Neodiprion lecontei: one gene and its partners. The protein of the gene in region 2 interacts with the protein of the main gene of each other region in a pairwise test. Links are inferred from orthologs where the notes say so. Each region holds a gene or a part of one and is shown on either strand. Other genes may lie near its edges. The genes, in order: tyrosine-protein kinase Src42A, growth factor receptor-bound protein 2 and protein son of sevenless.

The links.
Region 1: the proteins of growth factor receptor-bound protein 2 (region 2) and tyrosine-protein kinase Src42A interact in a two-hybrid assay, tested with the Caenorhabditis elegans proteins (3 studies listed by BioGRID). The link is inferred for Neodiprion lecontei from reciprocal best matches to the Caenorhabditis elegans genes sem-5 and src-2.
Region 3: the proteins of growth factor receptor-bound protein 2 (region 2) and protein son of sevenless interact in a two-hybrid assay, tested with the Caenorhabditis elegans proteins (3 studies listed by BioGRID). The link is inferred for Neodiprion lecontei from reciprocal best matches to the Caenorhabditis elegans genes sem-5 and sos-1.

Annotation. Positions count from the first base shown.
Region 1 is NC_060264.1:7,982,318-7,988,882, reverse strand, and holds the start of tyrosine-protein kinase Src42A, read right to left. Parts: upstream 4,798-6,565; 5' UTR 4,384-4,797; exon of another isoform or gene 3,833-4,383; 5' UTR 3,650-3,832; coding exon 3,291-3,649; intron 1,628-3,290; coding exon 1,506-1,627; intron 772-1,505; coding exon 608-771; intron 1-607. UniProt on the Caenorhabditis elegans protein: Non-receptor tyrosine-protein kinase which may play a role in larval and pharynx development. Unlike src-1, does not play a role in embryonic development.
Region 2 is NC_060266.1:3,272,443-3,278,852, reverse strand, and holds the start of growth factor receptor-bound protein 2, read right to left. Parts: upstream 4,273-6,410; 5' UTR 3,818-4,272; coding exon 3,740-3,817; intron 777-3,739; coding exon 679-776; intron 486-678; coding exon 366-485; intron 181-365; coding exon 15-180; intron 1-14.
Region 3 is NC_060263.1:31,853,688-31,860,355, forward strand, and holds the start of protein son of sevenless, read right to left. Parts: upstream 3,770-6,668; 5' UTR 3,270-3,769; coding exon 3,162-3,269; intron 2,213-3,161; coding exon 1,949-2,212; intron 1,831-1,948; coding exon 1,747-1,830; intron 1,611-1,746; coding exon 1,530-1,610; coding exon of another isoform or gene 1,528-1,529; intron 1-1,527. Other genes in the region: uncharacterized protein LOC107223285, read right to left, coding at 5,942-5,992. UniProt on the Caenorhabditis elegans protein: Promotes the exchange of Ras-bound GDP by GTP. May regulate signaling pathways downstream of receptor tyrosine kinase, egl-15 and let-23.

The DNA of each region.
Region 1 (6,565 bases), on a different chromosome or scaffold from region 2:
TGTAATAATTTTTCTTGTCTTTTCCAGGATCAAGCTTAATAATCGTAAATAAGATTTATAATCTAACTTATTAGGATAGCAAAGTCCAACAGAAGTTTAGACAGTGCTGTTTTCTGCATTCAACGTTAGGTTATAAAAAAAGGAACGAAAAAAAAATAGCAACATTCAAGTTATCTAAATTACAGTGTATTCAGTTGATGACTTATTCACACGCAATGGTATTCCCTGCTGAAATCACTGTTATCAAGCAGAAATTGGACCGTAAAGTAATTGAAATATTAGTGCATAACAGGGTCTGAAACGCTAGACAAAAAAAGAATTTTAGTCATTCGACTTATCGCAGGTGTGTCAGAGGGAGGTGCCTAAAAGTACTGATTAAAACATCCCCTTCAAAGATTGGTATAAATGTTGTTTTACAAACGACAACGATGTATATATATATATATCTAAAAGCCTCGACGAGTTGCATTTCATTATAAATATATAGAGATATAGTATTAATTAACGATATGACATTCTCAAAGAAATCTCTCACATGCAGCAAGCTGTCTAAACTCTGTGTAGACAAATTTTGGACCGTTAATTTTAACGTATGACTTTCTGTTACCTGCACACACGGTTTACAAAGATTGACACAGAGACCATCTGCGTCTTTGCTGTAATGTTCAACGAGTTCCTGTAGTGTTCTGAAAGTTGTACGCCTGGCTATGAAGAAACCACCTTCATCCAGTTGCCTGATACGGTAATGTTTTACTGTGTCCCCATCTCGCACTATAATGAAAAAAATCAGTGTAATTAGAAATTTGTACATAGTTATTTATTTATTTTTTATTTTAATTATTTAAATCTATCTGATCGATGAAATAATTATTTGAAAACAATTGTCTGCTTACTGAAGAAAATGAAATGAAGAATTGACAAATTTTTATAAAAATTGCAAATGATGTTAAAGCATATAGTAAGTGAGTTGCGACTCACTTCACGCGGATGAAAAGTAGTGAAAACCACTAAGAGATAAAGACATGAAAAAACAGGAAATTGCAATCTGGCTGACAGGATATACCAATTTAATCATCAAGTGATACAACGGCACCGAGTCTACTATCTGATGGATTGTTTCAGGATCATTTACCCCAAGTAAACCTTATTTTGAAGCTTTACTTTTGACCAAAGAAAATTGAATGTTTTTAAATAAGTATTAAATATCGGTGTGTTTATTTTATTAAGATTCGTGTCATTTTCACCCAACAAATCAAGCAGACGTACCGTGTACTCTACAGATCAATTTCAAGATTAATGTATTTAATCAACTGGCTTTAGAACATGTTATCTACCAAATGACGACACATTGTTATTATCAAGCGGGTGAAAGCTGAAGGAGTGAACCAGTTATCTGTATTTTCTCTCCTCCCAACTTATTATTGCACACCCTGCGCTATCTTTACTCATCTTTATTACTTCTTGTACGACAGGTAGGTTGCGACGAATAAAACTAATGCACTTACCCGATAGGGAATAGTCATTGTGTCGACTTTCCGAATCTCGAATTAAGAATGCTCCATGATCATTCTCTGGCAGTAACAGTTTCTTCTCGGCTTCAATTCGCTTTATTTTTCTGAAGTACCATCTGAGAAAGAAAAAGAAAAATTTACTGTCACTGACTCGAAATACAAATTAAGTTCAAACAAGTACATATGCGAAAGGTTCGACTCAATCTTTAAGAATGATTCAAACGACTTTGATCAAAGCGAATAAAATTTAAATTGATGAATTTGGAAAAAGATAGACAGTTCATGAGAAGACTAAGTTTAGAAAACATTCCACATGCTTTGGCATACATAAATTTTGCATGCCATTAAAACTATCGCTTCTGAATAACTGAATCAAATTATGATTGTTATACCTAGGGTCCGAATAGAAAAAAGAATGTTATGATGTTTCAACATTCACTCCGATGACAAAGTTAATGGGTAGTTACTTGATGTGGAAAACTACGTTTTCGAATAATGGGGACACAATTTCTTCAAACATAGTTAACTGGTAGAACTGAACTTTAATTATACTTCTTCCTTGCGCAACTCTATTCTATCGGCATATTTTTTCCCCTTCATCTTTTGGCATTTTTGCAATAATAAACTGCCATTGTACCGATGTTCATGAAAAAAAAAAAAAAAATGTTAAATTCAATGTACAATATTTCCTAGAACATGAGTAGAGGGATCTTTTAATATTTAAATATGAACACTGCTTCCTGAAAATTCCTACATAGTAATCTACCAAGGTGTGTATGCGATTGTGTGCGTGTGCTCGTGTGTAGGCCCCCCCCGTACTAGAAGAGTACAGTGACGCTCAACCTATCAGGTTATTATGAAGTAGTGAGGAACCTTTGGAGTAGGTGAAAGCAATCTCATGCAATAATAATAATTATAACGAGCAAAGAAACTAATGGCAGAGGAATTTTAAAAAACAAGAGTCACGCCTGCGACGTTATAAAAAGTTATTGAGCCACGATTAAAAATAACGGCTATGCCCTATTAAAATATATCAATTCAATCCACTGTTACCGATCGGCATCGATATAAATATTAAACATATGGTAATCGATTAATTGGTTTTCCAAGCAGATCTATAACTGTAAACCGATCGTTGGAGGGGTCGTGTTGCGAGCGCATGACTTGGATTTTCAGAGTTGATATAAATTTTCACATACACAATTCCTTGACTCTTCCAATTTTCCATATGAAAAATTCACCATTTTTATTTTCTTATCATCGTAGAGTAATGTTTATATTCAGAATACATCGGTTAAGTTACATTTGGTTTCATACCAAACCTGATTAATTCATGTCTGAGGTAGTGAGAAAATCGTTTTGCATAATCAATAGCGCATTATTCATGAAGATGTGAATACTTTGAATTCTAGGATTTAAATAGTATTTTTTATCCTGTGGGTTTTTACCCGATTTGATAACAGTCAAGAATATTGCGATATAAGATGGTGGACCTAATAACTACGTTAAAAAATAAAAAAATTTGGCAATAAATGTGAAACACTAATTTGTCATTGAATCGAAAACATCCTGGTCCAGAAACGTGGATTTACACCAAGTCTCATGGAAACTCAATACTTTCAAAGAAGCATAGATCAATTTAAAAACTGTGCTATACCATTCTACGTAAGAAAAATTCAACACGTTCGCCGACTAAGTAGAACTGCTGCCTTAGGCTTCGTGAAAGACCGAAGCAAGCTTTTGTTACAGATAAACGAATAGAGTAATGTACAAACTTACGGTTCAGCTTCAATAGATTTCAGTTTGGCAACGTAGTTACTGGGAATGTATCCTTCCTGTCTGGTCCTCTTGCTTCTAGCGAGCCACCAGTCGCCCTGCGTGTCGTTAAGGATTTCTAAGTGTTCTCCCTTTCTGAAGCTGAGGTCCTCGTCAGTCCTTGCATCATAGTCGTAGAGGGCGACGAATATTTTAGCCGTCGGCGCATCGGTTTCAGGTATTTGCGGTATCGGTCTGATAGGATCCGGAGGCGGAGTCGGAACCGGGCTAGCTGGCAACGCGATAGGGTCGCTGGTGGTGTTGCCGCTCCTCTGAGACTTATCCTTTTCAGAATTTGTCGGGCTGCTAAAACAGTTTCCCATCTTGATAGCGTTTTGGTAACGTCTCAAAGCAGGTAATTTTTCAACTCTGAGACACTTCAGCAAGTGTCTTTTGGTATTTGACTGTTCATACGTCTATATAGTCAGTCACTTTTTTCAGATGCGAATAGGAAGTTCTGTTTTTTGGGTTATCGTTCTCTGCATGGTCCATAGATTGATGGATTTCTTAGGTAAACAGTCAAGTGTAGAGTATAAATGATAAAAAAAAGAAATATTCCGGGGGAACAGGGCGAGATTCTTTGTCCCTTTGGCGAGATTTTTTTGTCTGTGTGAATGGTTCTACACGTTTCAAGGGTTCGATGTGGATTAGTGATAAAAAGAAAGAAAGAAAAAGACTTCGCTCGTCCCTTTGATTAAAAATAAACACCGTTGAGCTGCGTTATATACAAGAATAATAACGAGTCGGTGGCTAACACACGCGATAATGGTAGGGAAGAAATAGCGATTTGTGGTTATTGGAAACGAGAACTGGGAGATACCAAAGATTCGTTGACGTTACAAACACACTAGAAAATATTAAGATATTCACAATTCGTTGTCAGTTTGACGAGCAACTCGGACTTGCCAAGTGTCGAAGTAAAAAGTGCCAAGTGTTTCGAATTGAAACTTTACCGATAAAACTGACATAGAGATTAAACTCCACTTTCCACACAGCAGCACTGGGTCTAACGCATACCCCTTTACGTATACATGTATTTAGTTTTTCAAACATTTACAACACGGATTACGGAAGCGTAAACCAGCCAAAAACGCCGTCGGACAATCAACGGAACAACGTATTTATCGTCGGGGTCAAATCGGGAACATGTGACGACCGCAGGTCCCTGTTCCCCTCAACGAATCCCCGAAAATCACGATCAACTTTCTGGCCGAGGGAACCTCCTTGCAGCGTTCGCCATTGTCCGTCAGTCCGTCTGTCCGCTAGCCGTCAAATACGATTTCACATGCGCGAGCAGAATATTGTTATATATGCGGGTTCAGCGGAATCACCAAGAGCACACGCCCCCGAGGCGGGAGCAAACACAAACGACACTTCGACGTCGGCGAGACTCTGCCCGATAACGTGACGATCAGGACATCGTATTATCCTGATTTAGACGATTTTTAATACATCGGTTCGAAGTGAAAACACCCACCAAGGCGGGGGGACGAGGGGAATATCCAGATTGTTTCGTTCGGAAGAATTCGGTACGGTGTCCGAAGGAAGCCGAACAACCGGTGCTCGACGTCCTCGGACCTGTGGCTCGTCCTTCGAATCTTGCCACTGTTCGATATGCATTTTCGTACTTAATCCCTTTACAACGATTCCCGGTAGCATTTAGATTCAATTGAGGCAGAACTGATACTGACTTGCATCGCTAGATTATCACGATAAAAATCTATCGCGTATATAAACGATGTCAAAATGCGTATTTGAATGCTTTATACGCGTGAAGGGTGCCGTCAAACCACAAACTCTCCGGGACCGTCGTCATATTATCGCACATTTAGATTTATTTCTTGATTTATTTACGAATTCTGTAATCACCTGCGACAATATTATGACCCGAATATATGCTCTAAATCCGAATTACCCTCGCTGATAATGGCGATTATTTGTTGACAGCGTTGAGACGATTTCTTATCAATCGAAAGATAAATCAATTGATTTTATGTAAGGAGAACCGAACGACACTCGTTCGATCGTTGATACGAAACAGAAAATACATACATACACGTGAAAAATAATTCACCTTTGAAAGACGCTCGCCAATGATCGGAAGGTACCGGATCTGAAAATTTTTTGATACATGTTTACCCAGCTACGATCTTTACACGCATCAAAACACTTGTTGTCACTTATTCAACATGCACGCGCGTTATGTGGCAAGACTGCCCGAAGAGAACTGTCCGGGTTAACTGATTAAGCTTTGAATTATCTTTCAAGTTTCACTTCGATTTTATCCTACCTTTTGATTAAACGGCGTACATAGTTTATGACCATATAATTTCGCGCCTATCGGCTATTTCAAGTATCAAAAATATGCAGTCTGCCTCTCTGCCCTCTTGCCGTGTACATAGATACGCACGAGGTTTAAAAGATTGAGAAATTATCGACTATATTGTTACGATGAATGCCAGTGCCAGTGGTTGACCACATTTATTTGTTTCCCTTCAATTAGAATTCAGCGTATGTCTGTCAACTTCGATAATTATAAAATTTCATGAGGGTGAAGTTAGTAACGTTAACGTAACGAAACATCAGGAAAAAATTATTATTGCGCAATTTTACAACCCCTTTGATAAGGAGTTGGCTTTTCAATATGAAAGTATATTTTGTTTATCATGGCTTACTTAATTTCCGATATCCCTAAAGGTGCGAAGTAATGATTTTTCTTAAACATATATCGTCACAAACTTCACTCTGATAAAACTTCCCATCTAGCCGAAAAATTTATCTATTTAGTCCAGATTATCAACTTTTTTTAAAGCAATTCTTGAAACCATAATTTTTTTAAAATAATTAATTACATACGTTGTTTTGTTTGTTTGTATTTATACATTCATTATAAAATTACTTTCTTAATCACTCCTTTGCTCCGTATCGAAAAAATGTTGAAAATCACGAAAAAATTAATTATTGAACTTGAGAGGAATTTGCTAAATTAATAGTTTTTCTTTACAGAAAGACTTGTTCCCAGTTAAACTTTCTGTTGTGATTACGATTACCCTTTTCCACGAAAAATTTTCTCCCGTTTCTTCGTATTCTGAGTTACTCCGTCATAATCTTCGGAATTACATAATATTTTACTTGTATAACCGTTATTTATCCGTACATTGAAGAAAACAAATTTTTTTCACTTTTGTTTGTAAACAATAGCTGTTACTTTATTATTAGAAAAGAACACGTTCAAGGCT
Region 2 (6,410 bases):
TTAATTTTCCTCACCTCCTCTGGTTTCATATCAAGCAATTTCACGTCCTGAGAACGAGATACTGATGCGGTGCGATGATATTCGACGAGCTCGTTAAGACTGTTGAATTTGACTACCCAAAGGAAGAACTTGCCTTGCGCGTCTCTGAGGACTTTGAAATGCTGAACGCCATCCGAGCATCTGTGGAATTGAAATAATGTCTCGATCCGAAGCTATGCATAAGCGTTTAAATGGTTAAATATCTTCGAGTATTATTGTAAACTATGAGAGGTAAAAATCATACAAATACCGCAAATCTTTGTTTTAACAACTTTTAAAGTTAGACATTTTTCGAACGATGGAACGAATATTTGTACAAAACTTACTTGACTGATAGGGAAAAATCACCGGGAGAACTCTCGCTGATTCTGATAAGAAACGCACCTTCGCGTTTGTTCATCAAAAGCCTTTCCGCATCTGCTCTTGTTATTCTCCCGTAATACCAGCTGCGTACAGGGAACAAAAATAGAAAAGTCAAGTTCTGGTTCTCTCTTTTTTTTCCCTTGTTTCAAACATATCCTTAATTTGTTATCTTAGGCACTTTCAAGTCAGCATCGCCTTTTTCATATAGCTTTGGCTTTGGCTTGGGTCAACAATGGAATGAAACTCATTAAGAAAGAAATACGCCGTCAAACTTACTCGTGATTCTTCATCTCAATGTAATTGCTCGGTATCAAGCCTTCCCTAGAGTCCAATTCTGCTCTGTACCAATTCATGTCGTCTTCCATGTTTAAAATCTAATAAATAGAGAAAGTTAAATCAGTTATTTATAAAATCAAAGGAACAGTGTATTTTGTGCGTTGTTCTTTTGAGATGATGAAAATAAAGAGATTGGAAAATTGAATATGTATGTAAAGGTAAATCCCCAGCTATAAAAAATGACCGATTTTTTTTTCAATTTTCCGTCATTGCTGCTCTTGTCTTCCTATTGATAACGGAGCCAGCTGCATGCTGGTCAGTGTGGTAATAATACATGCTGCGCAAGTATACATGTATGAATAATCGCAGCTTCCACCACCAAAGTAGCAGCAGCAAACCGAACCAAGGTCGTAAGATTAATGAGTTTCGTTTGCAGGAAAGGAGGAGCGAAACTGATATCAACATAACGATAAGCAGGTGGTATTTAAATACCCTATTGATTAGGACAAAAGATAAAAGAAAAAAGGAACGCCAGAGCATACGGGTATTTAAAATGATATTTTCGTGTAGTAATGTATGCAGCGGTTGTTAAAGGAGGAAACTTATCTTAGACGATAATAGATGCCAAAGTTTCAGACAAAAATATCTGTTTGTATACTAATTATTGTTATTCGTCTTCTTCATTTTTTTTTCCTCCTCTGTAATGTGACAATAATTTGTGAATGATCTTGAATTCTTTAGTATGAAATGTCATTTCTAGAATATAACTTATCAATTGCGAAAATTAATTATTAACAATAAATTCTATGGATCGATTTAACGGGATAACAAACAGGGATGTCTGACCTTTCATTAGGAATAGGAAAAGGAATGAACTTTAAAATTTTGAAAATCGGATATCCGCGAAAAAAAAGTTTCTATCTCCAGTTTTCCTTTCAATCTTTATTTTAATTTCATAACGAAATACAATTTAATTTCTCAACATGGACAAGAAATTTTGCGTCATTGTACGACTTGAAATGTACTATTTTTAGGACGTATAGAATGCATGTTACTACACTGCACATACATTTCTAGTCATTCCCTTAGAGTTGCTAAATTTCTCCACAAAAATGGCGCCACTTGCAGCCACTTATAGAATTTTTTATAAATGTGTTGACATTTTCCAACCGATTTACTTTCGTAAATCCGTTACAATATCAACGCCCGTTACATAACTTTCGATGCGTTGCTTTTTTCACAAGTTTGATCGTTTCATCGAAAATTTGCGGATGGGATCGTGGTTCGTTGGTTGGTCGCTGTTCCTAAAAAAACGCGAAATCATCTAGACGAGGAAGAACCGCAGAGGCTCTGTTTTCCTTCATACCTACGTGGGTATCTATCCACGTTTCTCGCATGGTTTCATGAAAATTTATAAATAGGTATAAGAGCGAAGATCGAGTATAGTTTTGCCCAAGCAGAAAATAGCTATGGCATAACTTGGACACGATATTCAGCTCGTGTCAGAGTCAGTCTCAGAAGTCTCAAGACTCAGTTCCCTGCATACGTGCTTATGTACAATATTCTCGATTTCTGGTTTCGTCATAGACTCTTACGACAATGTAGTTACGCGTAGGAGAAACACGATACTCCGAAAACAATGACAAACTTCCACAAATAATATTCATTCCGATGTCGAAATAATATACAATAATCATCAAATGTATACAAAGTAAGAACGATTAACGTATGCGCAACAAAACGTCGTCGTTTCGTTTCTTTCATAGAAATTCTTTATGTTAAATGTACAAATATATTTCACTTGACGCTTCGCTGTCATAAAATATTCAGCAGCTTTTTTTTTTTTTTTATTATTTTGGTACTAACGATCTTTTAAACGATCGAGAAGCATAGATAGCGCGATCACCGAAGAAAGGAAACTTATGCCAATAAAATATTGGCGAGTTTCCTTTCTCTGCTTCTTCTCCTTCTTTTTTTTTTTTTTTTTGTTAATAAAATAAAATTCGAAAGACTCAGATGGATATACCTATAAGCAAGATTCCAAGAAAGTTTTCATGATTGGCTAAATGAATTCAGAAAGGCGATTGGTATCGAATTTTCTCGATTCATGAACCTGCAACCAAAGCGCAAATCAGGGATGAAAGAATTGATATTACACAAAATTGATGAACGCAATGAAAAATTAAGGGTGTAGGCGATGATAAAAAAAAACTAGCCAACTTATTAACAAGGAATAAAAATTCTTTTGCCATACGTAGAGACAATTGTATTACGAAATGTCATATTGTTAGATTGCAAAATCCCGAAACGCGATAAAATCCTCCTCCACCATCCGTAGTGCGGATCAGTGAGATCGAAGAGCGAACACACAGGTGCATGCATACACACATACGTATGTGTATTTCTATATTTGGTGATTGGGAGAATGGCGCTGATGATATGAAAGAATTCGTTACTGCTTTTTGCGGGTGTATGCGCGTGTGCGTGTCCCGTTTTGCTTGTCCCGTGTTGATATCGTTCTTCCTCCTTTCCTTTAGTTTTATCAAATAGACGATGACAGGGCGATGGGTGAAATAGAATAAAAAAAAAAAAAAAAAACGTAGGGAAAAAGCGTGGAACACATTGTAACGTTGTTGAGTCGAACAGGCGATCGTTCGTCATTTGTTTCTATTTTATTTATTTTAATTTTTTTCTTCATTTCTTCTCTTCTCTTCTCTTCCCTCCATACAATCACCGCTGCTATTCTTTTCACCTCGGTTATCTAGGAAACATGTTCCGCATATGCGCGCTGTCCCCCGTTTACATACATCACACGTATGGTATAAGTATAGATAAGATAAGAAGCGTGTTATTTGCGCTTAATTTACAGCGCGAGGCGTAAGAAATGGGATAAATATTGCCATGGCACGATCAGGGATTATACAGGATCCGTCTAGGACGACACATGTGGGTATGCATAAGTAAATAGACACATTGTGTGAAGAGGAATGGATAAACGACGAGATGACGAGAGCGGTGGTGGGCGGGGAAGGGCGGCGAGGAGAGGGTGAGCCGTACCAACCTTCAATACTTGACTCCTACGAAAGCTGAGCTCGTCATCGGCCGTCGCATTGAAATCGTGTTTCGCTATCGCCTCCATGGTGATGATTCACTCTCTTTATCCGAATCTATTTATCCAAGTTGAATCCTGGCAAATCCGTTATATTTGTTATATTTCGCCGAAGAATTTATGCGTGCGATATCAATCGTTCTCCTGCTCCTCCTCCTCGTCCTCGTCCTCCTCCACGTCCTCGTCGTCGTCGTCTTCGTCGTCGTCACGGGTTCTCGGTTAGGTAGGTAATAAACGAACGTCTCTCCCTTGGCACGAACCAGCCTTGAACAACGTCCACCTCGACACAAAGTTCAAACGACCCAATTGAAGAGTAGTTTTTCCTCTTCTTTCCTTTCGTATGTCACACGCAGTGTGACTGGGTATAATAAGCCTATGGGTACCACGTATCGCCGTATGTAATGAGGAAAAAAAAATCACAGCTGCGGATCTACTCCGTGGATGGTGATCGGCCGTTCGTTCGCCTCTCGACGCCCGTCGGTCGCCTTTCGATATATATATATATATATTATCTTTTTTTTTCTTTCACCTCTGATATAGCCTGTTGAGAGAAGAACAACTTAAACTGCACAGTATACAACATACACCACCAGTTGATAATAATCGGACACGTAGATTTTGTGACAGTAACGAAAAACCGCAGCTGGGTTCTTTATTTTGCTTGTTGTTTTTTTATTTTTGATTTTTTATTATTTTTCTTTTCCTTCTCTCGTTCCTTCTCTTTGTACCTCTAAACTTGTTGTGTTGGTGTTGTTAAACTCTTGTTCCTTTTCTTTATCGTTCCTCTTTTGTTTTCGAAACGTTTTACTTATGCACCGAGACGCGTATCTATGTCACGTTCGCGTTTGTATGGTTTAAACAACACACTGTGAACGATATCTGTTTCCTCTCGATCGAAACACGAGTGCCAGGAGCCAGTAGTAGTATTAGTAGCGGTAGCGAAACGCGATACTAGCAGAAACGGAACCCGTAATCTTTCATTATAATTTCGGTCGGTTGTCTTCTTGCGGCAAGAAAATTAGATAATAATGTTCGCCGCGTTAATTGCTCCTTATTAATCGGAACGAACTTTTATTGGTAAACCGTTAAAACTGTCATCAGTTCACGACGACCACCGCAATTGCATACTTCGAGGAATTATAACCCATTGCTTTAAGCTTACGCTTATCAGCCGCCGTCGGTCGCCACTGACCGCTGCTGCACCTCCTGCCTTCTCCTGGGGATCCCGGTTAGCGACGGTGCTGCCACCGCGTCGTTTCACGTCGGTACTAAAACAGCCCGACGATATTTTGGGGCCTGGTAATTTTCACCCGATAGTTTATCCCACCTATCGCTTATCAAGTCGTATTCCCATTGACTACCCCAGACGTTTTGCAGGGTTATTGTAATTGCGGAAAATCCGTTCGAGTACATTTCTACGCGGCAACATGAACGCCATTTTTTTTTCTCATTTTACCTCTGGGACTACTTCGCGACCGCGGAATACGCGACATGCGCAGTCGGCAACAACTCGGTTGTACAGCTCGAGGAAAAGCCTGTCGACTGCTGTCGTCATTCGGCAGAGCCAGGCACGTTTCTTTTCATGAAACACGAACAACCGCCTATCCTCTGCGTCGATGCATGTATGTATGTACATACAAACAAATAAACGCGCATGCGTATAGGTTTAGCGAGTGGAAGTTTACATTCGTAGAAATGATGGATGAACTGTAATAAAATACGGTGTTAAAAATTAATAGAGAAATATTTGTTCATTTACAATGAATTTTGAACCATAAGATCGATTTGAAATTCGCAACTGTATATTAGTATCGTTGATGCACAGGTAGGTATAGATAGGTGTAATTAGCATATAGGTGTATACGTACACCTTGTTCGAGCTGATTATTCCGGCCAGAGACAATGACGAAAATTTACGCGTTACAACATGTATACACATACGTATATCTATACATGTACGCATATTATGAATTATTCAGTATCCGGATAATAAATTATCGGTTAAACTGTTGACCTGTCGTATTTATTCTTCCTTGCGATATCCTCCATGGCCACGGTGTGAAACCTGCGTGCATATCTCTGGTAACGGTAATTTCCCAAATAAGAGAAAAAGATAAATTTTTGTGCGTGAATCATATGTGGCGGTCACTGATCCATTCCGCCGGAAGGTCGAAAGCATCGGACGTCGCCTGTCTGCCGGCGTAGAACGAAACTCATCGACGAAATTGAACATACCATAATAAGGGACTAATAGGAGTTTGAAAATCGAGTGTGATTGATAGGTCGTACCCAGCTAAAATAACCGATTCGTACCATTTTGCTTTGAATCGGGATCGTTTCGAGAATTAAAGAAGGACTCATTCTGATAAATGTATTATATTTGTATTGTGTTACGTTGTATTATTACTGCGCAGCTTTATTAACCAATGTATCCGGGAAACGCTACCCACATACGATGCTGCATACGATAGAGAGATGAAAGAGTTTTCACATACTGCCCAACGCATGTCCAACGACTGTACGATGATGAAAAGAGTGAGACAGAATGAGAACTGTGTTTATTTCAAGTGGGATATATAGCTATATATGGTGGACGATGATGGTTGGGTTCAGTTCCTCTACT
Region 3 (6,668 bases), on a different chromosome or scaffold from region 2:
ACGTAGTCCATTCCAAGTGTGCCAATTTTCATGCTTGGTATTCCAGAAATGGTTACTCGCGCATGCTAGTTTAATGATGAACTCGAGACAAAGAATTTCAAGTAGAGTTGATCGTAGATTTTTCTAATTAGTATACAAGTATCAAACAGCAACAACGTGAGCTAATTAATGTCGTAGCATGTGATAATTCACTAATGAATAGATACGATAAGCCCGCTTGAGTTGTGGGCTGTGTTGTAGGGAAGAAATTTACTTTCATTACCTATTTTGACACAAATGGAGTACCATGTTAATTATTTTGAAAAACAGTAAGCCTGCCAAATTTTTTTTTTTCAGTAATTTACAGTATCATAAAAAGTTAGTTATTTAGCTCCGTTGTTCACAAAATTTCACAAACGATTAGAGGATCATGAAAATGTAATAATTACTGAATGTGTTCAAATAACTTTCTACAGGGGCGTCGCAGGTACGTACCACCTATAACAGCGTGAGTAGAGGGCGAACATTGTTGGTGTTGTTTTTAGTTGGTGGAAAGCATGTAACCAAGCAGAGAACATTTGCAGCCACAATTACCACTTAGCCTGTGTCTAATCTAGCATAGCCAGTCAGTGGTTTTTGGATTACAACAACGGTTATTACTAACTTCTAAGATTTGTTTGCAATTTATAGCCCCCTTTGACGAGTCAACATATGTTCTGTATTATGTATACTAAATTGCAATGTGAATTTCATAAGGGAGGGGGAAAAGAAAACCAAGAGAACAAAACACGACAAATAACCACATCTCCAGAAAAATACTTTTAACGAATGTCATATGTGATTCCTGATAACTTCATTTCTGTAAAATCCGTACTTTTTCAAAGTCAATACACATGTACAGATAGCAAATTGAATTTTTGACATACGAAACATTTTTAAATAACCGTACGAATACTTAATAGCGATAAGCTGATGCAAATGAATTACATTTATTTCAGAACCCGTCTATCTCGTAACACTAATTGTTCTCAATCCAACTTATTACCTAGATAAAGCTTATAACTATAAGCTATGTTACATTGGATGAAAAAATGATAAGTAGGCCCAAAGTTCCACAAAATCTTCTGACACTAAGGTGACGTAGAAACGTATAATTAAACAATTCATAGAAATTATTTCGATTTTTGGGGTTGCAATAATTTTATTGTAGCTGTTCCATGTACAACGATAAACTTAATCTTGAATAAATTAGTATTTATTAAACGAAAAGAAAGAATTTCAGTAAATATGTTTGGAATTTTCAGAAAATTTTTCCGATTACTGACATGGAAATAACTTGTTTAAATTTGTTCCACTAGTCTACTTACTTGAAAAAAGTAAATAAAAATGATCCCTCATATATTTAGGACGGACTTTCCAATTCAATTTTACTAATTTAATTTACTAATTAATATTTGATGTACAACAGGAATGTAGTGAATGTTGAGCCAAAGGACACAGACAAATTAAATATAGTGTAAATGGCAAAATTTCAGTAAGTCATATGTTACCTTGTCAGCGTACATCGCCACCCTGATGTCTTGACAGGAAATTTCAACATGGCGTATATTCTTAACATAGTTTCCAGCCAACTGAACAAAAACATTGTTGTTCATTAATTGAAACAGTTTAAACCTAAATACTAAAATATCTGCGAGGCGATTACGGCAATAAGGTTTTCTGTACTACGACTCTTAGTAGGACAATGTAGTGTTCAAAATTACAAACCTTCAGAATATCAGCCGAGATGTACTCCAGTACGGCTACAACGAACAAACTGACTTGCGAGTCAATTTTGTGCTGCAATACTTCCTACAATTAAAAATAAGAATTCAGAGCGTATATTTAAATAGTTCAATCGCCTGAGGACAAGGTTACGTTTGAAAATGTAGATTCAAGTAAGAACCTAAATCTAATCTGTACTACAAACCTTTTGTAGCAGCTGATGTATTTTATCCACAGGTAATACAAGAGGCGATTTTTTCTTTCCCTTTTCTAATGCTTCCTTGGCGTCGCTTAAAGCCCACCTATCAATTGGCGTTGGAAAAGTGCGCCTAACACGTTCTTCAACATCTTGAGGAGTGTGTGGTGGAGGTCGGCCACACAACATTCCTAGCATTCGAAGGATCAAACTTTCCACATAATCAAGTGCGTCTTGCCTCGCTTCCAAACTCGGGTGAACCTGTTCCAATACCTGCAATAAAAGAGATCAATAAGCGAAGTCAAACGTAGCAGTGAACACGAATGATTGGTTGCCACACTGGTCTTAGGAATTCTGGCTAATTTAAAGATTAATCAGATTTTGCTAAAGAAAGCTGTATGTTTCTGTGACAACGAAAGGGCAGATTGTGTTTTTTACTGAGGTTAAAATTAATACCATTAATGTAACAAAATATTGTTGCAAAAACCATGAGTTTGCCATTTTGTTCATGATTCAGAAGCAATTAAGTTATGAAACAGTGTGTCTGTGTTGCTTCGTAATGATTTACCCAAGTTCAGTCAATTCTGATATTGTAAGATTGATTTTTCTTTAGAAAAAAAATACATAGTTACATTAACATTACGAATTTCAACTCCATTTCTTCGAAGATATCACTTTTATAAATTACTACAAATAACTTTTCAATAACTCTAAAATCATCATCCTTGTCAATAAAACGACACTAATGAATAAATAATGGTGGAAAATTTGCGCTTTATTTTTTACCAAACGTTAGCGATGCATATATTTTAATTTAATTATTTGTAGATTTTCATTGTACATTTTATGGTATAAATCGAATCCATATAAATGAAGTTCTGTAAGCTGAAGATTTGACGATAAAATGGAAATGAGAATATTTCGATTTGTTGTTCTACAATTGAATAAGTTACTTTACAAACGATTACCCGAAAGGTGATACAAAGTTGATAGAATACACCAGCTGATTGAAAAGAGTAAATGCGGGGTGTCACCTGACTTTGACAAGGCTGTACGTGTGCATACGAGCGAACTGGTGTGTAGTAACATCGCCAGAGAAGTCTGAAGGTAGTAATAATTGAGGAAAGAGAGCCGTGAAGGAGGCTCGGAAATTGTGGAAAGTGCGCGTGGCGATCGTTTAGGGAAAAGACGGATCGTGAATGAGGATCCGAAGAAAACAAACCTTGCGTAGGGAGTTGACAAACACCCCCTTCCACTTGGCGGCGTTCTCTTCTTTCTCAAAGTCGTAGCCCGACGACTCGCCCACCACAGACGCCGGCGTTGAAAACATCTCACTTGATTAACTGGCGGATTTGATTCAAGTTGAACAAATTTCACATTCGATATACATTATTTTCTCTCACAAATAGACTGAGTCTCTCTCTAGTTCGCGAGACACGTTTTTAGAAAAATCACAAAAACTTGACAGAGACGTTCGTCTATCCGTCCGTCGTTCGGGGCGCAGACATCTCTTCTTGTCTTTCTCACTCTTTCTTCCTCTCTCTCTCTCTCTCTCTCTTTTTCTCGCTCGCGCTCTCTCGCTTTCTCTTTCTCTCTCTTTCTCTCCCTCTCGTTCTCGCTGCAAAGATGCGACAGCTAAACCTTTTCACCCATTTTTCGTCCACTTCTCCGTTTTCCCGCACTGTTTAACCTCGATATCACTTTTCGCCGATCCCCTAGCTCCTTGTATTCCCTGTCTTTGCACATTTTTCACCTCCTTTCAACTATTTCTTATCAAAACGTCGTTCAGAGAGACCCACCAGTATCGAGAACTGCCATTGCGCGAGCTCGCTCTCCGCGTTGCGATCGATATTGCGATACTCGTCGACTCGTCTCACTAACGCGATATATATCGAACAACGTCCATACCCCGCGAAACATATCTTTACTCAATCTTGCTGGAATTTTTGTCGATGACTGTATTCGCGCCTCCCGGATAATACGTACTCGTACCGATACTATTACCCATTACCACGCGGGGAACTCATAGTTGGACATTACTGTACATAAATACGTATATTAGCATATTTTAAACGTCGTTTATGCGCTAGGCGTTCCTATTTGATTCTTTCTTCAACCGAAATATGCCGTGTTATTTTGTGTAGATTTTTTTTAATTAAATGTAATTTATTCCAATAATATTATAAAACATTGCGGTGAATTAATTTCAAGAGCAATTTTATTTTAATTTGTATATGCACCTCTGACATAAGTATTAACTTGTCTAACTTTCGTATTCACGTCTAGTGCGTGGTAAAACCCACGAAGTAGTTAGTATTACCTCGTGGTAAGACCGTAGGTAAAAGGAATTGAGCAGCCTACCATGCACATCGATATGTATGTCCGGTGGCCTATAACCAGGCATGGGAACATCGTGACGCACATCATTGACATTGATCATTATTTACTGTACAGTTACGTAAATAATATTTTCATCAATTATATTATGCATTACTGAGAATCAGTTTATCCATTAAACGAATTTCAAGGTTGTCACAGCAGTTCGCATGAATCATATAAAACAGTAAATACTAATTACTTTTTGGTGTCTTTTCACAATTATCGTTTGAGACGAAATTAAAAAAAAAAAACTACAGTATTATAATTTGCATACACGATGCATACAGTCCAAAGTCTGTTAGGTAATAGATCTTATAGTACAGGAATTTTTTTGCATAAAATCCAATTAATAGTTACGAGTAGGAAAAGCGACCAAACTGCATTCGTTTTCGGTACCCGAAGCAACGGTTTCGTTAAAATTAAATGTTTTTAATTTCGGTTTTAATTTTCACAAACTGTAACAGCATGTTTGGGAGGTACAGACGAAGAGCTTGATAAATGTATTATGTGGATTAATTTTATTGCGTACGCACTCACGTACAGTAGCAGGTTGTCTATGGACATGAAATTAATATATTTTCACATTCCGGCGAATGCGGTAGACAACAACACGTGCATAATTTGAATAAATAAAATGACAAAGCAGCCGTTAACAATAACATCTTAAATATATCACATGTAATTGAGATACAATGGTGAAATGATAATAAATAAATCTCTCTTTACGGAACGTTAAATACATAATTTGATCTTTGCTGTCAGTTTAGAAGTGATAAAATCTCATGGTTTTACCGAAACGTTCTATTCAAATATGTAGCACATATGGACTTACGTAAATTCTTAAAATACTACAGCTTATAAATCACTCTAACAGTAATCACTAAAATTAGATACTGTCTTGAATGTATGTTATTTCGAAGCAAAGACTGTTGCAATTTACTGAAGTACTAAATATCGTAGAAATAATTGAACAAATGGATTTTCAATAGTTTCATCATTATTTTTTAATAATTGAGCTGCAAAATTTTATCTTATATATATCATACGTATATACGATTTAATTCGGCATGTAGACGTATCATTCATTTGAGCATGAATTTTTCAATTAAATAAACGGAATAGAAAACGGTAGAAAATTAGAAGTAAGAATATATTATATTTATAATATATGTATACTTAACGTCAATAAATTAGGTAAATTGAATAAATAAAAAAATTTAGCATACATATTAAATATAAATTAAATAAATTACTAAAATTTATGACATGTACGAAATACTTTCGGAAAATACCATCAGTTACACACACCGTACACTACATCTATTCGCCGGTGCAGACCATATTACGCTCGGAATCTTTGATATAAATTCTTTTTTTTTTTTTAATATATAGAGAATGGAATATCAAATTTTCGTAGCGCAGTTCTTGTTACGATTAACGCACGAGACGTATAGTCGAATCGTTTGATTCATCTTAAAAAAAAGGAAGAAAAAAAAATTTAGACTAAAGCATAAAAATTAAACTAAAAATCAGACGGCAGAGTTTTTCCGCTAATACTGTAGAGGGACGAGGGCTGAGAACCTCTCGGTTGACTTCTTAAAACATCTCCGTAAGTTTTTCAAATTATACTAATTGTTCCTCCGTCTCCTCCCCTTGTCGATGTTGATGGTTGTTCTGGAACCAAAAAAAGGCGAAACATGAGTTGACATGAATATGCCAAGATGAATAAATGCTAACACGGTTCACATGCTACAAATTGCGTAAATCACGAGTGTAGTTTATTAGAATTCTAAATTATTGCTACAACTCTAATTAATTAATAGGTCAGTCAACGGGATGATAAGTCTCGCTGATGGAAATTCCCTAACGACTGAATGCACCGACATTCGCTATGAGCGTGTGTGATAAAGTAGACGAAATAGTTGAATCAAACTTTATATTATAACGCGTACTCGTAATTAATTTCACCTGTGAATGAGATCATTCAAATTCAATAAGTAAAACGCGTCTAATTGGTTATGAAGTGGTACAAGTTGCTCTACCCGAATATAAATTGCGAAACTGCAAGTAATTATATGAGTCAGCTGATGTTTCAGATCGTGGAACTCTGAATTCTGCCTGACTTCAAAAATTGCAATATTCATTTGTATTTTCTGGCCAGATGCAGTCAGTGAAAATGACAATTAGTAAGTACTGTGAGGCGTATTACAATTATTAGTTCGTTGAAGCGGATGCATGTGCCACGTTAACTAAATGGAATCTGTTTTTATCAGTCTATACCCGATGAAATCCTACTGTTGTGAGATATGAAATCAAGGTCCATGTTTGCATAGTTTTCTCATTAAATAGA